Sus scrofa: one gene and its partners. The protein of the gene in region 2 interacts with the protein of the main gene of each other region in a pairwise test. Links are inferred from orthologs where the notes say so. Each region holds a gene or a part of one and is shown on either strand. Other genes may lie near its edges. The genes, in order: PPP1R3D, EPM2A and PPP1R3C.

The links.
Region 1: the proteins of EPM2A (region 2) and PPP1R3D interact in a two-hybrid assay, tested with the Homo sapiens proteins (2 studies listed by BioGRID, with this or other methods). The link is inferred for Sus scrofa from reciprocal best matches to the Homo sapiens genes EPM2A and PPP1R3D.
Region 3: the proteins of EPM2A (region 2) and PPP1R3C interact in binary tests that used the Homo sapiens proteins (3 or more experiments, as listed by UniProt). The link is inferred for Sus scrofa from reciprocal best matches to the Homo sapiens genes EPM2A and PPP1R3C.

The regions. Positions count from the first base shown.
Region 1 is NC_010459.5:59,962,664-59,968,786, reverse strand, and holds PPP1R3D (protein phosphatase 1 regulatory subunit 3D), read left to right. Parts: upstream 1-2,078; 5' UTR 2,079-2,099; coding exon 2,100-2,999; 3' UTR 3,000-5,227; downstream 5,228-6,123. Other genes in the region: protein FAM217B, read right to left, coding at 1,510-2,078. UniProt on the Homo sapiens protein: Seems to act as a glycogen-targeting subunit for PP1. PP1 is essential for cell division, and participates in the regulation of glycogen metabolism, muscle contractility and protein synthesis.
Region 2 is NC_010443.5:19,804,574-19,810,712, forward strand, and holds the start of EPM2A (laforin), read left to right. Parts: upstream 1-2,207; coding exon 2,208-2,499; intron 2,500-6,139. UniProt on the Homo sapiens protein: Plays an important role in preventing glycogen hyperphosphorylation and the formation of insoluble aggregates, via its activity as glycogen phosphatase, and by promoting the ubiquitination of proteins involved in glycogen metabolism via its interaction with the E3 ubiquitin ligase NHLRC1/malin.
Region 3 is NC_010456.5:103,274,946-103,280,919, forward strand, and holds the start of PPP1R3C (protein phosphatase 1 regulatory subunit 3C), read right to left. Parts: upstream 3,813-5,974; 5' UTR 2,949-3,812; coding exon 2,935-2,948; intron 913-2,934; coding exon 1-912.

The DNA of each region.
Region 1 (6,123 bases), on a different chromosome or scaffold from region 2:
TGATTGCAAAGGGTCTTATCATCAGTACTGTGTTGGGTTTTACTTGTTTGTTTCCAAAGATTCAAATTGTACTGGAAAACTGGTGGAGGGATATTGCCTTCTATTTACAGTTCCATCTTTTTTTTGCTTGTTTGTTTTTCACAGTGGTTGCAGATACAAGATCACACGGACTATAAATGGAATCCATCTCCCCCCGCCCCCCACACAGAGGTACACAGTCTCTTTGGAAATAACCTGCTAAGGAAATTCGTGGAGCTAATTAGGGCCATGTGTTACTCCAAAGTTCCCACATCCATCTATTCATGCCTTCATTCATTCCATCATTGGTTCAACAAATAATTACAGGAGTGCCTAGGAATCAGCAGGGTTACCCACAGGTCCTGCTCTCATGGAGCTTAAGTGCTACCGGGGAGGCTCCCTCTCAGTTCTCTAGCCTTCACTATCACATCAATCCATGAAAAGGTTACCAGTGTCTTATTACATGTCACATACTATGATATCATATGGACTCATACCACTCAAGGCTGCTCTTGGGCTCTTATTTTGAGTGGTGTACTAAAAGCACCCCATTTGAACGTGAAGCCGTGTGTGTTTGTTCCATAATATCCCTGCCTCTGAAAAATGGAAAAAAGAGGCGGGGTTATAGAAGATTTTTAATTACTTCCTAAAACTTTGGTGTATTATTTTCCCAAATAAGCAGGTGTGTCATTTTACTCCGTGCACATATGATGGTAATGAAAATCACGGGTGGGTGCTCCCAGTGAATGAATTATACGGTCATCGGCTTGATGGGTTTTAGATGTAGAAAATGTTCGTTACCAACCCTCCTTCATTAGTTTGGTTTTCTTTCTGCTTTGTCCCTCTGGACAGTACAGGAAGCCGCTAGAACGCTCTCTAGAAAGTGCACTTCCATCTTCACATCATTTCACCTGGCAAGCTTTATACCCTCTGCTGTGGCCTGTTCTGTGCAGTTACTGAGTGAAAGAAGAGACGACCGCCCGTAGGGTCCCTAAGGATGCTCAGGCTCGCAAAGCTGTAAGTCGGAGATTCTGGCAACAAAAATAAATTCTGGCTAGAGGCTGCTTAAGGGCAACTGCATAATTTACCGCAGGGTATGAACTCTGGTTCCCACATCTTCCTCTCTGGCAGGGGGCCAAGACACTGCAGCAGCACCGCCCCCTCCCACCCCAGGGATTGGGCTGGCGGGTCCCGGGCGGCAAAGCATTGTGGGTGACGTGGGGACAGGACCTTCTGTGCGCAGCCAGGCTCCTTCTGGCCGAGGGTCCCGGTTGTAGTGCAAATATCCAAAGAACTGGCCAGCCAGGCTTAAAATCCCCCTGAAGACCAGCTCCTGGAAAGGCCAGGTTTTGCATCCCCTCCCCCGCCCCCATTAACCCAGAAATCCGAGGATCCGCAGCATGCGTTTTCCTCGTCCTCTGTTTGTGCAGACGCGGATCTACGATCGATCGGCGCGCGGGCCAGGCAGACGCAGACAGAAATTGACCAGACCTGTTTCGCGATCGCCCGGGACACGTGACGAGGCCGCTGGCCTTCCTTCCCTGCGCCTGGGCGGGAGGCCGGACTGCGGCGTGCTGCGGCAGGGGCGCGGGCGGCGGCGGCGGCGGCGGCGGCGCTCGGGCGGCGGGAGTCCGCGCGCGGGCGGCGTCACGAGGGGCGGGGCGGAGGCTCGCCGGGAAGTTGCTCCCGACAAGTTGCAGCCATGTAAGTAACGCCGCGGCCCGGGGTGGGAGGGGCCGCTGGGCGGACACCGCCTTGGCCCGGGCACCTCGGAGGAAGCAGAAGGCAGGCGCCACCCTGCGCTCCGCGGAGGCCCCGAAAGGCTTCCACCGGAGGAAGCTCTCATCTCCTGAAACCGGCTCTTTATTTGCTGCCGAAAGCGGAAGACCTGGGCGAGGACCCGAGGGGCGAGGTGGCCGACGAGGGGAGGGCGCGGCGGCCCCACTGGGTGTCCTGCAGGGTGCAGTTCCGGCGGACACTCCCGGGGGCTGAGCACGGCCCGGGACACCGAGGAAGCGGACGCGAGGTCGGGAGGCTGCCCCTCGGTTCCGCCTCCCCATCGCCCGACGGCCGGCCGGGCCATGTCCGGAGACCCGGGCTCGGCGGTCCCCCCCGCCGCCCCGGCGTTCCGGAAGCCCGCCCCGCGGAGCCTCAGCTGCCTCTCGGACCTGTACGGAGGTGCGGCCCCGGAGCCGAGGCCCTGCAGGCCCCCCGGTAGCCCGGGCCGCGCGCCGCCGCCACCAACGCCGCCGTCCGGCTGCGACCCCCGCCTGCGGCCCATCATCCTGCGGCGGGCGCGCTCGCTGCCCAGTTCGCCCGAGCGCCGCCAGAAGGGCGCGGGCGCGCCGGGCGCTGCGTGCCGGCCGGGCTGCAGCCGGCAGCACCGCGTGCGCTTCGCCGACGCGCTGGGCCTGGAGCTGGCGCAGGTCAAGGTGTTCAACGCGGGCGACGACCCGTCGGTGCCCCTGCACGTGCTGTCCCGGCTCGCCATCAACTCGGACCTGTGCTGCAGCAGTCAGGACCTGGAGTTCACCCTGCAGTGCCTGGTGCCCGACTTCCCGCCGCCCGTCGAGGCCCCGGATTTCGGAGAGCGCCTGGGGCGGCAGCTCGTGTGCCTGGAGCGCGTCACCTGCTCGGACCTGGGCATCAGCGGTACCGTGCGCGTGCGCAACGTGGCCTTCGAGAAGCAGGTGGCCGTGCGCTACACCTTCTCGGACTGGCAGAGTGCGCACGAGGCGGGGGCGAGGTGGCGCGGGCCGGCGGGCGCTGAGGGCGCCGAGGACGTCTTCGCCTTCGGCTTCCCGGTCCCACCCTTCCTGCTAGCGCTCGGCTCCCGCGTGCACTTCGCGCTGCGCTACCGCGTGGCGGGCGCCGAGTACTGGGACAACAACGACGGCCGAGACTACAGCCTCACGTGCCGAAACCACGCCCTGCACATGCCACGCGGGGAGTGCGAGGAGAGCTGGATCCACTTCATCTGAGCCTCCGCGCGCAGGCCGCCCCGGCGGGCACTTCCTAGCAGCACGCTGGCATCCGGGTGGTGCTCCTCCCTCACACCCCTTCCCCAACCCGAGCTCCTGGAAGCTCACTTCCCGCTGCAAGGTGTGCTGGCAGTGGCCTGTCCTGTCCCACCTGCAACGTTTATGGTCTAAAAAGTAGCCTCAGGTTCCAGAAGGCCGAGCCTGTGCTGGGGTGGGGTGCTGGGTGAGTAGATGCATGGGTGCGTCGGCCCATCCCAGGGTGTTCTTGGAAAGGCCTGCGTCTCCCCGCTGGGAAAGCCTGTGGCTTTTGCATGTGTCCTAATTGGATCTCCGTGAATGCAGCTACTGTTATCATTGTGATGCTGGGACCTTTTACCTGAGTGGATGCCTTCTCGGGAATATTCTGGATTTAGTAAGCTAAGAAAACGTCCGGTTGTGTGTTTGTGCTCACTGTAAACAGCATGCACAGTGTGACCCCATCGTGGTCCCTCAAGGCATTCCCGACCCGGGACACGGAAAACCCGAGATCACATTTGCTTGCCAATATCTGTAGGCTTCTAACAGCCGGGAAACTATTAATAGGCAAGAAATTTATGCTTCATCCGTCATCATACAACCATTCCTGGGAGTTCAGGCTGCCCTGGTTAGGCTGTGTGTCTCCTACACCAGCAGCCGAGAAGAAGGAACATGTTTAAAACTTGTAACTAGCAAGATATCCCTTCTGCAGTCTCTCCTCTCACTTAATGTATTTTTTCTTGTTATGTGTTTGATAATTATGATCTGCACTTTATCAGGCCATTCTGTATAGGTTTGAACTACCTACACATTTAAAGAAATTCTGCCTTAAGTTATTTCAATTTTTAGGCAACTCTGTAGAATTTCAGGCAAGGATGCCCTTTGCAATTACCTTTTTGATGATAAAAGGTGACTCTGTTTATGTCTTCTTAAGTGTCAAAGGTTCCAGCAGTCATCTTTCAGAAGACACGTTACCGAGTGGAACTAGCAGGTATTTTCAGCAATAGACAGAGCACTGGAGGAAAAACAATACACAAATATTTATGCTTTTTAATCATTTTAAATTAGATTTGTATGTGCCTGGTTTTACCAGCTACCTGCCAACTGTATTCTTTGTGCCTTCAGATAGAAAATTTTATTACATTATCTGAACTTGTTTCCCAGTTTTAAAACATTAAATGCTTTTTGTAAAAAAAAAAAAAAAAAAAAAAAAGGAAAAAAAAATTTCAACCAAGAAGTCAAAACCTTTGTCCCCTGCAGGGTGCCGCAATGACTTAAAACTCTCTGGGAGGGGCTCATGATTTTTTGGGTCCTGAGTGATAGTCCTGACAGCAGGTGCTAGCACTGAGGTGTGAAAACCCAGCTAAGATGGACACGGTTTCCAACTTGGAAGTTGGCTTCTGGTACAGTTGAAACCATGTGATCCATGTTGTGTTAGGTGTCACCAGTGAATTAACTCTAAATTTTTGAATGCTTGTTGCCATTTGGCAAATAGGTGTAAAGGATGAGTTTTGCCTTTTAACTGATTATATATATATATATATATATATATATATATATAATTGAAACTTGTGTTTTGATTCCAACAACAGGGATGACTTTCTTTGGTAACTTCTGGTCTAAAAATACTGAATTTTTATTTGAAATATTGTGACTAAATTGAACAGTCATTGCCTCTTAGCACTGTGTACTACATTGGCATGCAAGAGGGAGAGAAGCCTGGTTCCATTTCCTGCTATTTAACTAACTGTCCAGTTAGGTCAGCAAGTCTGTGAGGGCCTTGGCTGCTGTGCCCTGGATCCTGGCCCAGCGTGCAAGGCGCTTGTCCAGAGCATTCAGGTGTGAGCTAGTGCTGGCGCATGTGTTGTGAAGTCATGTAGAGAAGCTTATAATCCACCTGAAGATCACGTGTCAAAAAGGTTCTGGTCACAGAGTATGAAATAAATGTTATATCTTCAATATTAAGAGAACCTCAACGTGCCTTTGAAAAAAAGGATCAACATTTAAAAACGTTAAAGCTTAAACATATCTACCTAGTTGATCAAGGAGCAGTGGAACAGCTTAAGGAGATTTTCAGACCTGAAAACACACTTATGTGGCCTGGTTTTTCAAATTTTGTGCAATTGTTGGGTTGTCTCCCCAAACATATTTTAATGTCTGGCTTTTAAGATGACTTCACCTAAGCCTAAATATTAAAGTATATATACGCACAAGTTGTTAGTTGAAGTGTGTTTTTCTTGTGGTCTAATTACTGAAACAAGGCTTTAGAAACGTCGATTGTTTAAATCATTTCACACATAGGTCGCATATCCTTCCTAAAATGCTGTCACATTAAGCATCTTGCCAAAATAAATACATTGTATGATGGCACCTCAGCTTCAGAAACACAGTTGCGTTTGAGAAACTGAAATACCCTCTTTTATGCCAGATCAGTATTACATATGAGGAACGCTTTAGGGGCACTTAGGGGATGGGATAGTTATTGTACTTGGTACTTATTGAATCCCATGTATGGAATAATTTGTGTGCATCTGCCTCTCCCAGGACTGTGACCCTCACTCAATTGCAAAGCCTTGAACCCAGGGAAAGGAAATTACCACTCACTGTGTCCTCTCTTTTCTGCTTGCCTACAATGCTAGGTGCTGTATGTATGCGATTTCATTTAATTCTGAAAATTGCACTGCCTGGTAGATAAAATTCCCATTTTCTTAGCTGAAAAGAATGAAGCACAGAGAGGTTTAAGTAATTCGCCTAAAGTTCCACAGCTGCTAAGTAGCAGAGTGAGCTACACGAAGCCCAGCCTCTCTCTATTATGTGATGGGATGCTCCCAGTCAGAGCCTGTCAAATTTAACTGAAAGCCCATTTGGATGATAATTGATAAGGTTTTCCATCTAACATCACAACCTAAAAACCTATTTCAAAACAATTCAAATAAAATTAAAATGATGTTTCCTCCCCTGTGGTAGTTTAGTGATGTTTACTAAAAAATCCTTGGGCTTTCTGAGCATGTAAAACACTAAAAAGGGCTCTAACGTTTGTCTTCTCTCTGCTAAAAAGTGGCAAGATAAGAAAACACTACTTTTAATTTTCGACGTATTTGTCTGCTGT
Region 2 (6,139 bases):
GCACATTAAAAGAGCTCAGTAGCTATTTTAATTATTATGGTTAGTGATTTCAAATAATTGACCAAGTACAATTGACTTTGAAATATCTTTTAATCCATATTTTGATATTTTTCTCTTTCCAATTGCATTTTGCTTGGGGCACAAAGTAGTCAGCACATTTGTATTATATTTAAATCCATGCAATAAAATAAGCCCATATATTTTGTCTAGGGGTTTAAAAGAGTGCTTTCAACTGTTAAAATTACTCAACCTGGAGTTCGTGGCGCAGTGGTTAACGAATCCGACTAGGAACCATGAGGTTGCGGGTTTGGTCCCTGCCCTTGCTCAGTGGGTTACCGATCCGGCGTTGCGCTGAGCTGTGGTGTAGGTTGCAGACGCGGCTCGGATCCCGTGTTGCTGTGGCTCTGGCCTAGGCCGGTGGCTACAGCTCCGATTAGACCCCTAGCCTGGGAACCTCCATATGCCGCGGGATCAGCCCAAAGAAATAGCAAAAAGACAAAAAAAAAAAAAAAAAAAAAAAAAAATTACTCAACCTCTTTATGAGGGGAAAGGAGAAAAGGAAATAATGTCTGTTGAACAAATATATTTTTGGGGGATTTGTTATTGTTTCATCTGCAGAATAGGCAGTACTCCCCTTGGAAGAGCTGGTGGGAATAATGCCATTTGAAAAGTACACAACACAGGCAGCATGGTAGAACACAAGAAAGTTCTGTACTGTCAGCTTCCAGGGCACTTGCGTGGCCAAAGGACTCTTACTTTTCTAAAATTACTGTGAGAATATTTTGAAATAGTAGTCTGAATAAACTGACTCACTTTCCACTGTGATTTAATGTCTGCTTTGCTATTGAATCAGCTGTACTTGGCCAGCCCTGCCGGCCTCATTTTTCTTTGTGCTTATCCTTAAGCTTAGCAACTAACCAAACACAGAGTGGAATTATCAATATTTAGAAGTGAAATGTATTAATAGTTTACTAATTGTTCCACAGAGAGACTGAGTTTGTATGGCTTACATTTTGGTACTTCTTTCTGTTTTATTTATGAATGCATGAAAGTTTGGTGCCCCCCCCCACTATTCACAAGCCTTCAAATACTGGAAAAAAAGTATCTCTGTGTATCTTTAGTTCGCAAAAGAGAGTTAAGCCCTGGTAAACACAGAAATGTTAAGGCGACCACAAGAGCAACTTTAATAAAGAATTAAAAAGTAACAAGTAAACAGGACAGTTGGTTTTCTTAAGGCAGTGACAAAAATTAAAGGGCACCCCCCTAAGTCCCCCACTCCATATAGTTTTCATTTGACCGAATAGCTATAAGCCTGTGTTTTCTGGGCACACAAAAGTTTTAAGTTGAAAAGAAAGATGCTGACTTTTACTGAGAGCAAAAAGTTTTATGTTATGCCATTTAAAAATTATGAAGTCATTTATATTTATGGCCACAGAATTACCATTTTTTTTGGTTTTGTTTTACCTTGGAAAGGCTTGAACATTCTTACTCTAAATCCACTTTACACCTACTACAAATACCCCTAATAGTTTTTCCAAAAAAGAAAGTGATCATGTGTCGTGTCAGGCATCACACTGGTCCTGGCAAGGGAAAATACTGTGTTTTTGTATCAGCTCTTGGTTCTGAATGGCGCCCCTTCCACCAGTCAAGCAATCTTTAGAGCTGACAGGGTCTTTAGAAATCATTATTTAATACCTTCAGTTTACAGATAAGACTGAGACCCAGAGAGAGAAAGTGACCCGTGTAAGGTGCAAAGCTCTCCAGATACAGATGCAGGATCTTAAACCAACTTCACTACTGTGGAGGTTGCTTTCTACATGCCATTCACTTTGTCTTAAGGTCCTCACAATGATAATTTCGAGTCTTTGGAAAGATGATTGGAAAATCTCAAGGCTTATGAGATGTTTCCTTTTCCAACCCCGTTCTCCTTGCTTTCGCCGCGTCCCCAGGCGCCCTTGGAGCCGGTGGAAGAGGCAGCGGACGGGAGCCAGCCTCCTTCTCCCAGAGAGGCGGGTGGCGAGGCTCCCGCCTGGACCAGGCCCGGGCTCCTGAGCCGCGTGATGCAGCCCAAAAAAGGTGCAGCATCGCACGTGTCCCCGCCGGCGCCCGATCCTCTCGCGTCCAGGCCTCGCGCGCCGCCGCCCAATCGCCGCGTCCGCGGGTCACAGGGGCACTGGGACCTGGAGCCGCGCCGCCCGCCCGCCGCCATGCGGTTCCGCTTCGGGGTGGTGGTGCCGCCCGCGGTAGCCGGGCCCGGGCCGGAGCTGCTGGTCGTGGGCTCTCGGCCGGAGCTGGGGCACTGGGAGCCGTGCGGGGCCGTGCGCCTGAGGCCGGCGGGTACCGCGGCGGGCCCGGGGGCGCTGGCGCTGCAGGAGCCGGGCCTGTGGCTCGGGGAGGTGGAGCTGGAGGCGGCGCAGGACGGGGCGGAGCCGGGCCGCGTGGACACGTTCTGGTACAAGTTCCTGAAGCGCGAGCAGGGAGGAGCGCTCTCCTGGGAAGGTACTGGGCGCTAAGTCGACCTGCACCCCAGCCTCAGCCTCGGCCTGGGGCAAGCCCCACAGTCCCTGCTGCGGCCTCCTGGGCACTTGCCCGGCTCTCGGGCTTCGCTAGTCGCCAGAACTTCCCGGGCGCCCCGGGCTGACCCTTCTCTGCCCGCCCAGCTGTCGCCGCCAGCTCCCGACCGATTCCCTGGGCTGAGGTTGTGTTTCTGGCCTCCCGCCCCTCGATCTTTGCCCCTCTGATCTCCTTCCCACACTGCCCGGACCCCGCAGCCCGGGCCTCGGCCCCGCTGCTCCCTCCGCGTCCTCTCTGGGCCGGTCCCTGGGCTGCTTGAACCCCGGCTGCTCCTGGGTTCGCTCCTCAACTCCGCCTTGTCTCTGTGCCCTCATTTTCTTGCCCTAATTCACTCACAAATGACCTCATCAGTGAAGCTAGCCTTTCCACTAGCCCTAAACAGCAACATGCTACTCCCCCCACCCCTTAAATTTGAGAGTGAGCTAATGGAAAGACGTTGAGCCTTTCTCTTTTTGGATGTTTTTAAAATCTCATTTGACAGTTGAGATATGCTCTGGTTTCTTAAAATATAAAAACAGTGCATGCTGGCTGTAAGAAAACAAAGTAAAAATTTACATGTACAAAGTAAAAAACTTGTTTCCTCCGCATACCCTAAACCCGCTGAACAGTGTGGATTTATGTTTCACGCACAAATTGTATAACTTACGATTCTCTGTCTTGCTTTTTCTTGCTCAACAACGCGTTGTACCTTTTAGTGTCACTCCATATAGATATTATTTAATTTTTAAAATGGCAACAAAATATCCTGCATCTTCCGATGTGCATTTAGGTTGTTTTCCGTTTTCCTCTGTGATAAACAGTAATAGCTTAATTGAAAGTCCGTGTATAGAGTTATTTTTGAGTATTTGGGCAAGTCGCTCTAGGGTAGATTCTGAGAAGTGAAATTGTTAGGTCAACGTGTAACCATTTCGATACGGACTACCAGGTTAGTCCGTGAAAAAGGTTATGCCCATGTAGACGCCTGCCCGCGATGTATGAATTTAGACCCCACCCACACCCATTTCTTTAAATGTTCAAAGTAGGGGATTTGAATGTTTATGGCTCAGTAGTTGTGTACAGCAGATGAAATGTCTCTAGAAGTTTATGTGATAAAAGCGGCCATTTAGTCCATAATGATGTGGGAACAAAGAATCAGCAAAGAGCATGAGTGTTCTGTAGTATGTTTATGTATTATACTTGTTCCTCTCTTCGTGCCCGCACTGAGTTTTATGGTCTGGTGGCATTTACTGTCCTTTTGTATTACCATGCCAGAAGCGACAGATACTCTCATTGGTTATGCCCTTCTTTATATGATATTACTATTATATTAATAATGTATTATGTTTATAATACCATTATGAAATTGTCTTTCATAATAAAGTAATACCTAATCATTTTAATAAAAATTAAAATAGGAGTTCCCCGTTGTGGCACAGCAGAAACGAATCTGACTAGTATCCATGAGGATGCAGGTTCCATCTCTGGCCTTGCTCAGTGGTTCAGCGGTCTGGTGTTTCCATGAGCTGTGGTGTAGGTCACGGAAGCGGATCCCCTGTGGCTGTGGTGTAGTAACTCCACCCCTAGCCTGGGAACTTCCATAGGCCGCAGGTGCAGCCCTAAAAAACAAAACCAAAACAAAACAACCAACCAGCCAAACAAAAAGCTTAAGATGGTTAAAAACAAAGATCTTCCCTTTCCCCAGTCCCCTTCCTTTTCTATGTTTAGTTTTTCTGATATTCCTCCCGAAATGCTGAATAATTTGCTTAGGTCGCTATTTCTGAATATATCATCTTTAATTTCTTTTGGTTTTAGGTTTTCTGAGAGCTACCATATAACTTGTATGTTATATGTTGATTAAAATTAGGCGATATCTGTTGACAGCTACTGTGTACTCTTCTAGGTAACCACCATAATTGCTAGGAAATGAGGAATTTAGCTGAAGTGCATTCTCTCTCTCCTCCCTGCTGGGTTATATTATTATTTGAAATTATATATATGTAGTTGACTTTTGACTTTTCATTATCTAGAAAATTCTGTTATACTTCCATTATCTAGAAAGTTACTCCTATATAAAAGAATAAGGAAAATAGCCCATCTACACATTGCTTTTCTTACTTTGGTTAATCATTATTTCTACATTAATTTCTACATCATTTATATTCTATTTTACAAAGGTTACTAAGAATTCTTGTTTTAGGTTGGTAGGTTTATGAGAATTGTGCGTTAACAAAGAGCATTATGAGAATTGGCAGAGCCAATGTTTAAGAGCAAGGATTCTAGAGCCAGAAAGCCTAACTTTACCAAGGGTGTGACCTTGGGCAAGTCACTTAACACTGTCGTGCTGTTGTTGAAAGGACTAGACTGGCTAATAAATCTTACGAACTTAGAATAGGACATACATTAAGTGTTTAATAAGTGTTAGTTTGTTTTTTTTAAATTGAGCATGATTTATAGTGTGAGGGATGAGAGCCTTTCCTTCTGGTACACAGGTTTCATATCACAGAATTATATTTCCTTTTTTATGAGTCTATTTGCACAACATGATGTTGTAGTAATTATTTCCTAATCATAATAGCAAAAATAACAATAATTCCCTTACACTATAAATCATGCTTGAATTTTATTTAAAATAATGCCAGAGTTCATTTTACATTATATTTAGGTGGTGATGTTCTTCTATGCCTTGTTTTTAAATTTCTAGTTACTTTTTTTTTTTTTTTTGTCTTTTTAGGTCCTCACTCGTGGCATATGGAGGTTCCCAGGCTAGAGGTCGAATTCGACCTGTAGCTGCTGGCTTACACCACAGCCACAGCAACACCAGATTCAAGCCACATCTGTGACCTACACCACAGCTCATGGCAACGCTGGATCCCTCACCCACTGAGAGAGGCCAGGGATCGAACCTGTATCCTCATGGATACTAGTCAGATTCCCTTCCGCTAAGTCACGACGGGAACTCCTCTAGTTACATTTTTAAAAAACAGAAACAGCACAATGGTCCTCAAAATTTCCTAGCTGAATTTCAGTATTTGATGAATACAAATTCCTTGCTTTTTGAAAACCTTCTTTTCCTTGAAGGATTGGAATTTTTGTTCTAATGTTCATTAATATATAGATTTCTGAGCACAGCTATCTGGGCTTTTATAATTGTTGTTTTTAATAGAACTCCTCTGTTGCATTATTTTATTCTTTATCTGCTTTCTTGAATATCTTAGTAATTTCATTGGATTTTATCCTCAAATAATTTCAAAGAAACAGTAAGTGGGAGATAAAATATCTGAGTCCTTAAGTGCCTGAAAAGGCCTTTATTTTGCTCTCACACTTGATTAATCATTTGATAGAGTATTCTAGTCACAAAATAATTTTCCCTTTGAAGGCACTACCTCAGTACTGTCTAGCTTCCCTTGAAGTTGATAATTATGATGTCAAATTAAGCCCATTTCTTTGTAGGCAATTTTTTCCTCTCTTTGGAGCTTTACAATTTTTCCTTACGTTATTTTATTAGGATATATCTGAGTCTTTTTTTGTTCATATGACTTGACAATTGGTTGGTTTTTTTATTTTCAGGAATTGTTTTTTTCAACTT
Region 3 (5,974 bases), on a different chromosome or scaffold from region 2:
CTCCCCCAGCTCTGCCACTCTGGGAAGAGCCCACTGGCCAGCCTTGGGCTGCCAAAGACTGGCGACTCCAACTCGGCCTTGGGGGGCGCCCGGTGGTATGCAGAGTCCTGGGATGCCATCTGAGTCTGCACTCCGTCAGGTTTCCACTGTGCATGGACAATTCTATAATTCTGACCCTCGTTATTGTCCCAGAAGACCTGCCCGTTGGCATGGTACGAGATGCAGAACTCAATTTTCTCCTTTGTTGGGATCACAGCGGGTAGGTCAATGGCAAACGAGAAAGTGTCACTCTCTGAGCCACCGTACATATTCTTCATGTAGACGCAGTCCACGTCGGTGTAGTTCTGCCAGGTATCAAAAGTGATCCGGATCTGAACCTTCTTCTCAAAGCTCACATTTTTCACCTTCACAGTCCCCGTCACCATTCGCTCTTGCAAAGAGCAGTTCTCCAGGCAGACAAAGTTCTTCTGGAAGTGGTTTCGAAAACTTAAGTAATCAGCTGAGGGCTGAGGGAAATCTAAAATCAAGTTCTTCTCTTCGTGGCGTTTTAAGCCCGAGGAGATATCATTAAGGTCCAAGAGGTCAAACTGGAGATCCCACACTGGCTCTTCCGGGAGGTCTGAGAAGACGTGAATGGCGGTGAGGGAGAGGCCCTTGGAGTCAGCGAACACCACCCGCTTCTTGGCTTGGTTGTGCGAAGGCTTCCAATCATTCTGTGATTTGGCTTCCTGTTTCATGTTGAGACACGGCTTCAGAGGCTTTAATTTGTTCACAAAATTTCTTCGTTGGAAGTCATCATAAGGGCCCAGGAAACTCTTCAGAGGTGGTGAGTGAGCCAAGCAGAGTCTCATGGCCACATCCACGGGCATGACTGAACTTGTCAAAGGCCGTGGATCTAAAACCTGGATCATTCTGGAATACAAAAAGAAGAGGGGTTACTATCTGGACCTGGAATGCACTTGCCCCGGGCCCAGATATGCATGTACTATTTTTGTACTGGTGAAATTCTAGCCAGCACAGTAACAAGGAGGTGCTATCTCGTGTAGGAAAGGAACACAGTACGAAGGGATGAGAGCTGAATTTTATGTTTGGCTCTACCCCTCACTGGCTCAAGGCCATGGGTTAACTGCTTAAAAGAGCTGGGGTCTCAGTTTCCCCATTTGAGAAACCAAAGTTTTGGGTGGGATCGCCTCTAACACAGCTCTAAGACTATTTTCTTTGCTCTGGACCAGTGGTTCTCAAACCTGTCTGGTCACAATGGCCTAAGGAGTTGATTTTCTTCCTTTTTCTTTAATGCAGAATCTTGGGGCTTAATGCCATTAATGCAGAACCTCTGGGGATGGGGACAAGGGGGTATATATTTTCTTAAAGCTTCTCGGGTGATCTAGTGACCAGATAGGTTCTAGAACCATAGTTCCAGACCATGTTCCCTTGGCTTTTGATCATTTTGCTATTGAATTGATTACACTTCTCTGGCACAGTCATCTGCCTGAAAAGAGAAAAAGAGCAGTAAAAATTCTCATGGAATAGTTTTGAGAGTGAGAGGCTAGAAAGAGTGAATCAGAGGATTACCATTGCACTTTCATTATCATGCTCTTCCTCATTTTACATAGATAACTAGCTCAAGGGCAAGTCAGCAATTTGTGCACTTAAGGAAAAAACTTTATATAATCTGTATTTCACACAGAAAGACACCCATGTCAAGTCCACATATAAGAGGAAAAAAACCTGGTGACCTGAAAATTAGGCCGTTTTTAATATATGCCATATATGTGAACTTACACATATTGAAAAGTTTAATAGGAAACATAAAAAAAAAGTTCATTATCTCTGGGTGATATATGACCTGTTTTTACCTTTGTACTTTTTTGGTATTTTCCAATGTTTTGGCAATGGCTATTTATAACCAGAAAGATAAAATTATTTAAAAATTTAAACAAAAACTATTTAAAAATTTAAACTATTCTAAAGAAGTGTCCATCAAGAAGAGTATTTTTTCTGGCCTTTAGCCCTGAGAATATATTGCCAAGCTTATGGACATTTTTTACCTTCAGATAAGAGGTGCATGGATATTATGTGACTTCAATCTGGCTTTAGTAAGCCAGCAGCAGTTCTAAGCATATAGGCAAATGGTCTCGGTCATAAAATGGATAATAAAAGAACACTCAGAGAATTTACTTTATTAATCCTGGGTTTTTTTCTGGGAGACCTACAAACTTAGAACAAACAAATGAAAGAGGAAAGCTACATTTGTGGGTCTAATAATAGTTAACAGGCAGGATTTTTAGAGAAGTCTTCTGCTAAGTTATGCCTGGAGAAGCTATTTAAATAGTTTGAGGGAGGTTTTTTCCTGTCTTTCTTTCTTTCGGGGATCCTGTTTCGTATTTTCACTTTTTGCACCTATAGAAAGACAGTTTTTGAATATGGCGATTTCTCTGAAACTTTAAGTCCTACTCAAGAGTTAAAAAAAATAATCATTTGCTCACACTCTGAGGCCGAGTTTGCTATGGCAAACCGTCATAAGAAGAGCTGAACACCCAGGAGTGCAAACATCGTCCTGCAGTTTTTCCCCAAAGCTAAACAATCCAACCAGCAGTCTCAGAGCGCTGTACCCACGAGCTAAGCTGTCCTAGTCCTTGAGGCATTTGTGCGGGACAAAAAAGATGCGGTCAGAATCCCTTACGGAATCTGAACTAAAGCTGACTCACGTTAGGACAGTTTCTGGTTTAAGATGCCATTTACCAACACCAGCTCTGCCTAAAAAGCACATGGGAAATCTCCACTCCTTGGAGTTATCCCCGGTGCCAGCAGTCAGTCTACTTGCCCTCTCCTGGGTTCTCCATTTGCAGTGATGACGGAAGGAAAACGCAGCCCAACCTCCCCCCAGCTGCGCGCTCTCTCGGAGCCCAGGCGGAGAGTCTGCAGGGAACCTACCTGGTGCAGCTCATCAGGCAGAGGGGCGGCGGCACTCCACTACCTGCGTAATTTCGCACCAGGCTCCCCGCGGTACCCACTGGGCGGCAGCTCTGGCGGATTGTGGGTGCGGCGCCCGAGAGGCCGCTTATCTGCTCCCGACCACGTGAGCCAACGGCTGGGACCAATCACCAGGCCGCGAGCTCGAGGGCGCGACCAACCAGCGTTCAGCTGGGACTCGAGCCCCGGCCCCGTGGACGTGACTGCGGTAGTGCGGGAAGCGCGGGCGCCGGGGTACCCCTGGGACAGCTGGCCCGAGCCGCGTAACGCGAACCCCGGGCGAGGGGCCGCGGAGGCAACCCCGTGGCGCACGTAGCGGGTGCAAGCCAGAAGAGAAAGCCCTAAACCCTCCCCCGGGCCGGGCGCCAGCACCGCGGGACTGCGGCGCAAAGAGATCCCTTTCGCTTCTAAAGGCTTCTGTGCACGGTAAAATCTTAGTGCAGAACGTTGTGGCTCGTTCCAAATGCATTTGTATTTGAAATTTTTATCTTGTTCATTGCTTGGTGCATCAGCTCATCTTCTCCCTCTCCTTGGCCTGAGCAGTCGGTCACATCTTGGTGTTAACGTGAACCCACAAATAGACTGCCTATCTAACCAGTGTTAATAAACCATATTAACCCTATAAGACAGTAAGGCAGCATTTAATTAAAAGACACTTTGTATTGCGACCATTTCTTCAGTTTTTCTCCCTGGAAGAGAAAACTAAAGCCAGGAATGAAATGGCTTTCTTTTTCGCTCATGCGGCCAGTCAGCCACAAAACCAGTGGTCAATCCAAATCCCTCAATTCTGTTCTGATGTCCTCTGGCAGTGATGTGAAAACCAAAATGTTAAAATATCACACTGCGAGTTTCATGACTCTCCCAAGCCAATTACCCTCTCTGAGGTTTCGTAATTTTGTTTAGTTTGGGGGGGTTTTCGACCATCAGTTACAACCATAAAATTGTATTTCTAAGTCGAGTTTAAATTATTTTTATAAAACCCCTGTCCTTTTTCTGCTCTCTTAGTTATCCAGTAGTCCTCTAAAATGTACAAAATGTACAATGTAAAATGTACAAAAATCTCTGTGTCTTTTAAATCACTCTCAAACAGTAGAATTGTTAGTGGAGTTATTAAAGAAAAGGAAACTCATGCTAAATAGCCCTGGGGAAGGTACTTAATGCTTGGGCTTGATTTTTTTTGAAAGGAAACATCCACCTCAGAGCAGATCTGCTGGCCTCTCAGCCCAACCAAAACTAACTGAAGGGACACGGTCTTTGACACTGGAGTCTAGGCAAGTTCTAGCATCAACTCCTTCACCTGTAAAATGGAGATAGTGAAGTTGTTCTGATAATTAAATGAAATTGTATGGGTGGGAAAACTCAGCATAGTGACTGGTGTGTGTTCAACCTGTGGTGGCTCTCAAGTAAGTGCCCTTGCCTTCAGTTTTAGTTTTTACTCTGCTAACATTTCCTTTAAGTACTTCTCAATGATTAGAATGGTAAAAAAAGGAAGGCACCTTAGGTATCACTGGCTTCAGAGGCTTTATTTCACAGATGAGGCATCTAAAGCTTAGAGAAGCTGAGCTGCTTGCCAGGGGCTGGTTAGGTCAGAGTCAAAACTAGGACACTGAGTTGAGGTTTTTTCTCCTCTACTCACAATCCTATGTTGAGCTAAAGAGTGGCTATTACGAATTAAAGTTATGGGGAAACATAAAGTAAGAATGTGTTGTGATCCTGGAGTTCCTGTCATGGCACAGTGGAAATGAGTCTGAGTAGGAACCATGAGGTTGTGGGTTCGATCCCTGGCCTCACTTCGTGGATTGGGGGTCCCGCATTGCCATGAGCTGTGGTGTAGGTCACAGACGCGGCTCAGATCTGGTGTTGCTGTGGCTCTGGCATAGGCAGCAGCAACAGCTCCAATTAGACCTCTAGCCTGGGAATCTCCATATGCCACCAGTACAGCCCCCTAAAGACAAAAAAACAAACAAAAAAAAAAGTATTGTGATCTTGTTTTAGTGGTAAGATGTGCACACATAGAAAATAGAATATGCTCTACCAAAACGTTAACAGTGCTTACTTTTGGATGGTGAGATTTTGAGTAAGTAAATTTTTCTTTGTTATTTTGTTTTTTGTCTTTTTAAATTTTTCTACAATGAACATGGACTTCTTCTGTAGTTGAGAAACCACTTTTAAATAACTTAAGACTTTCCAATTCCAGGAACGGTATTGGAAGCTTTCACATGCTTCCTGCCTTGACTCACAGAGACCTTTTGAGTTTGGGCTTCTTTCCATTCAAGCTGCTATCTCTTCTGCCCCCTGGTGCTGACTAATGCCATAAAAGTCACCTCTCCAAACTCAAAATAGAATTCAGGGGAACAGGGCTCTTTCCAAGAAAGGGCGAGCCTCAATAAATTGCATGATACAGACCTCTCATTTCTTCCCCACTCCCCCCCCGCAGATTTATTGAGATGTAATTGCCATATGACATTATGTAAGTTTATAATGTACAAGGAATTGATTTGGTACGCTTACATATTGCAAAATGATTACAACCACAGTGCTGGCTAAAGCCTCCATCACGTCATATAATTATCATTTCTTTTCTGTGGTGCAAACATTTAAGGTATACTCTCTCAGCAGCTTCCAAGTGTATAATACAGTATTATTAACCATGTTGCAATTAGAGCACTTGAACTTTGTACTCTTGGTACCGCATTGCCCCACTCCACCCCCAACCCCTGGTAACCGTCATTCTACTGTCTGTTTCCACGAGTTCAGCTTTCTTGGATTCCACATATAGTTGAGATCATACAGTATTTGTCTTTCTCTGACTTATTTCATCTAGTAGAATCAGCCCCCTCATTTCTATCTCCCTCCTAGCTTTTACTGCCCATCATTATGGGATGAGAGGGACTGGAATAGAATCTTAATTCTTAGCTGGGTGTTACACCATTGAAGACACAGTACATTAGAAACTGTGTGGAATTTTATTATGATTTGTAGGTTTTATCCAACTGTGGTT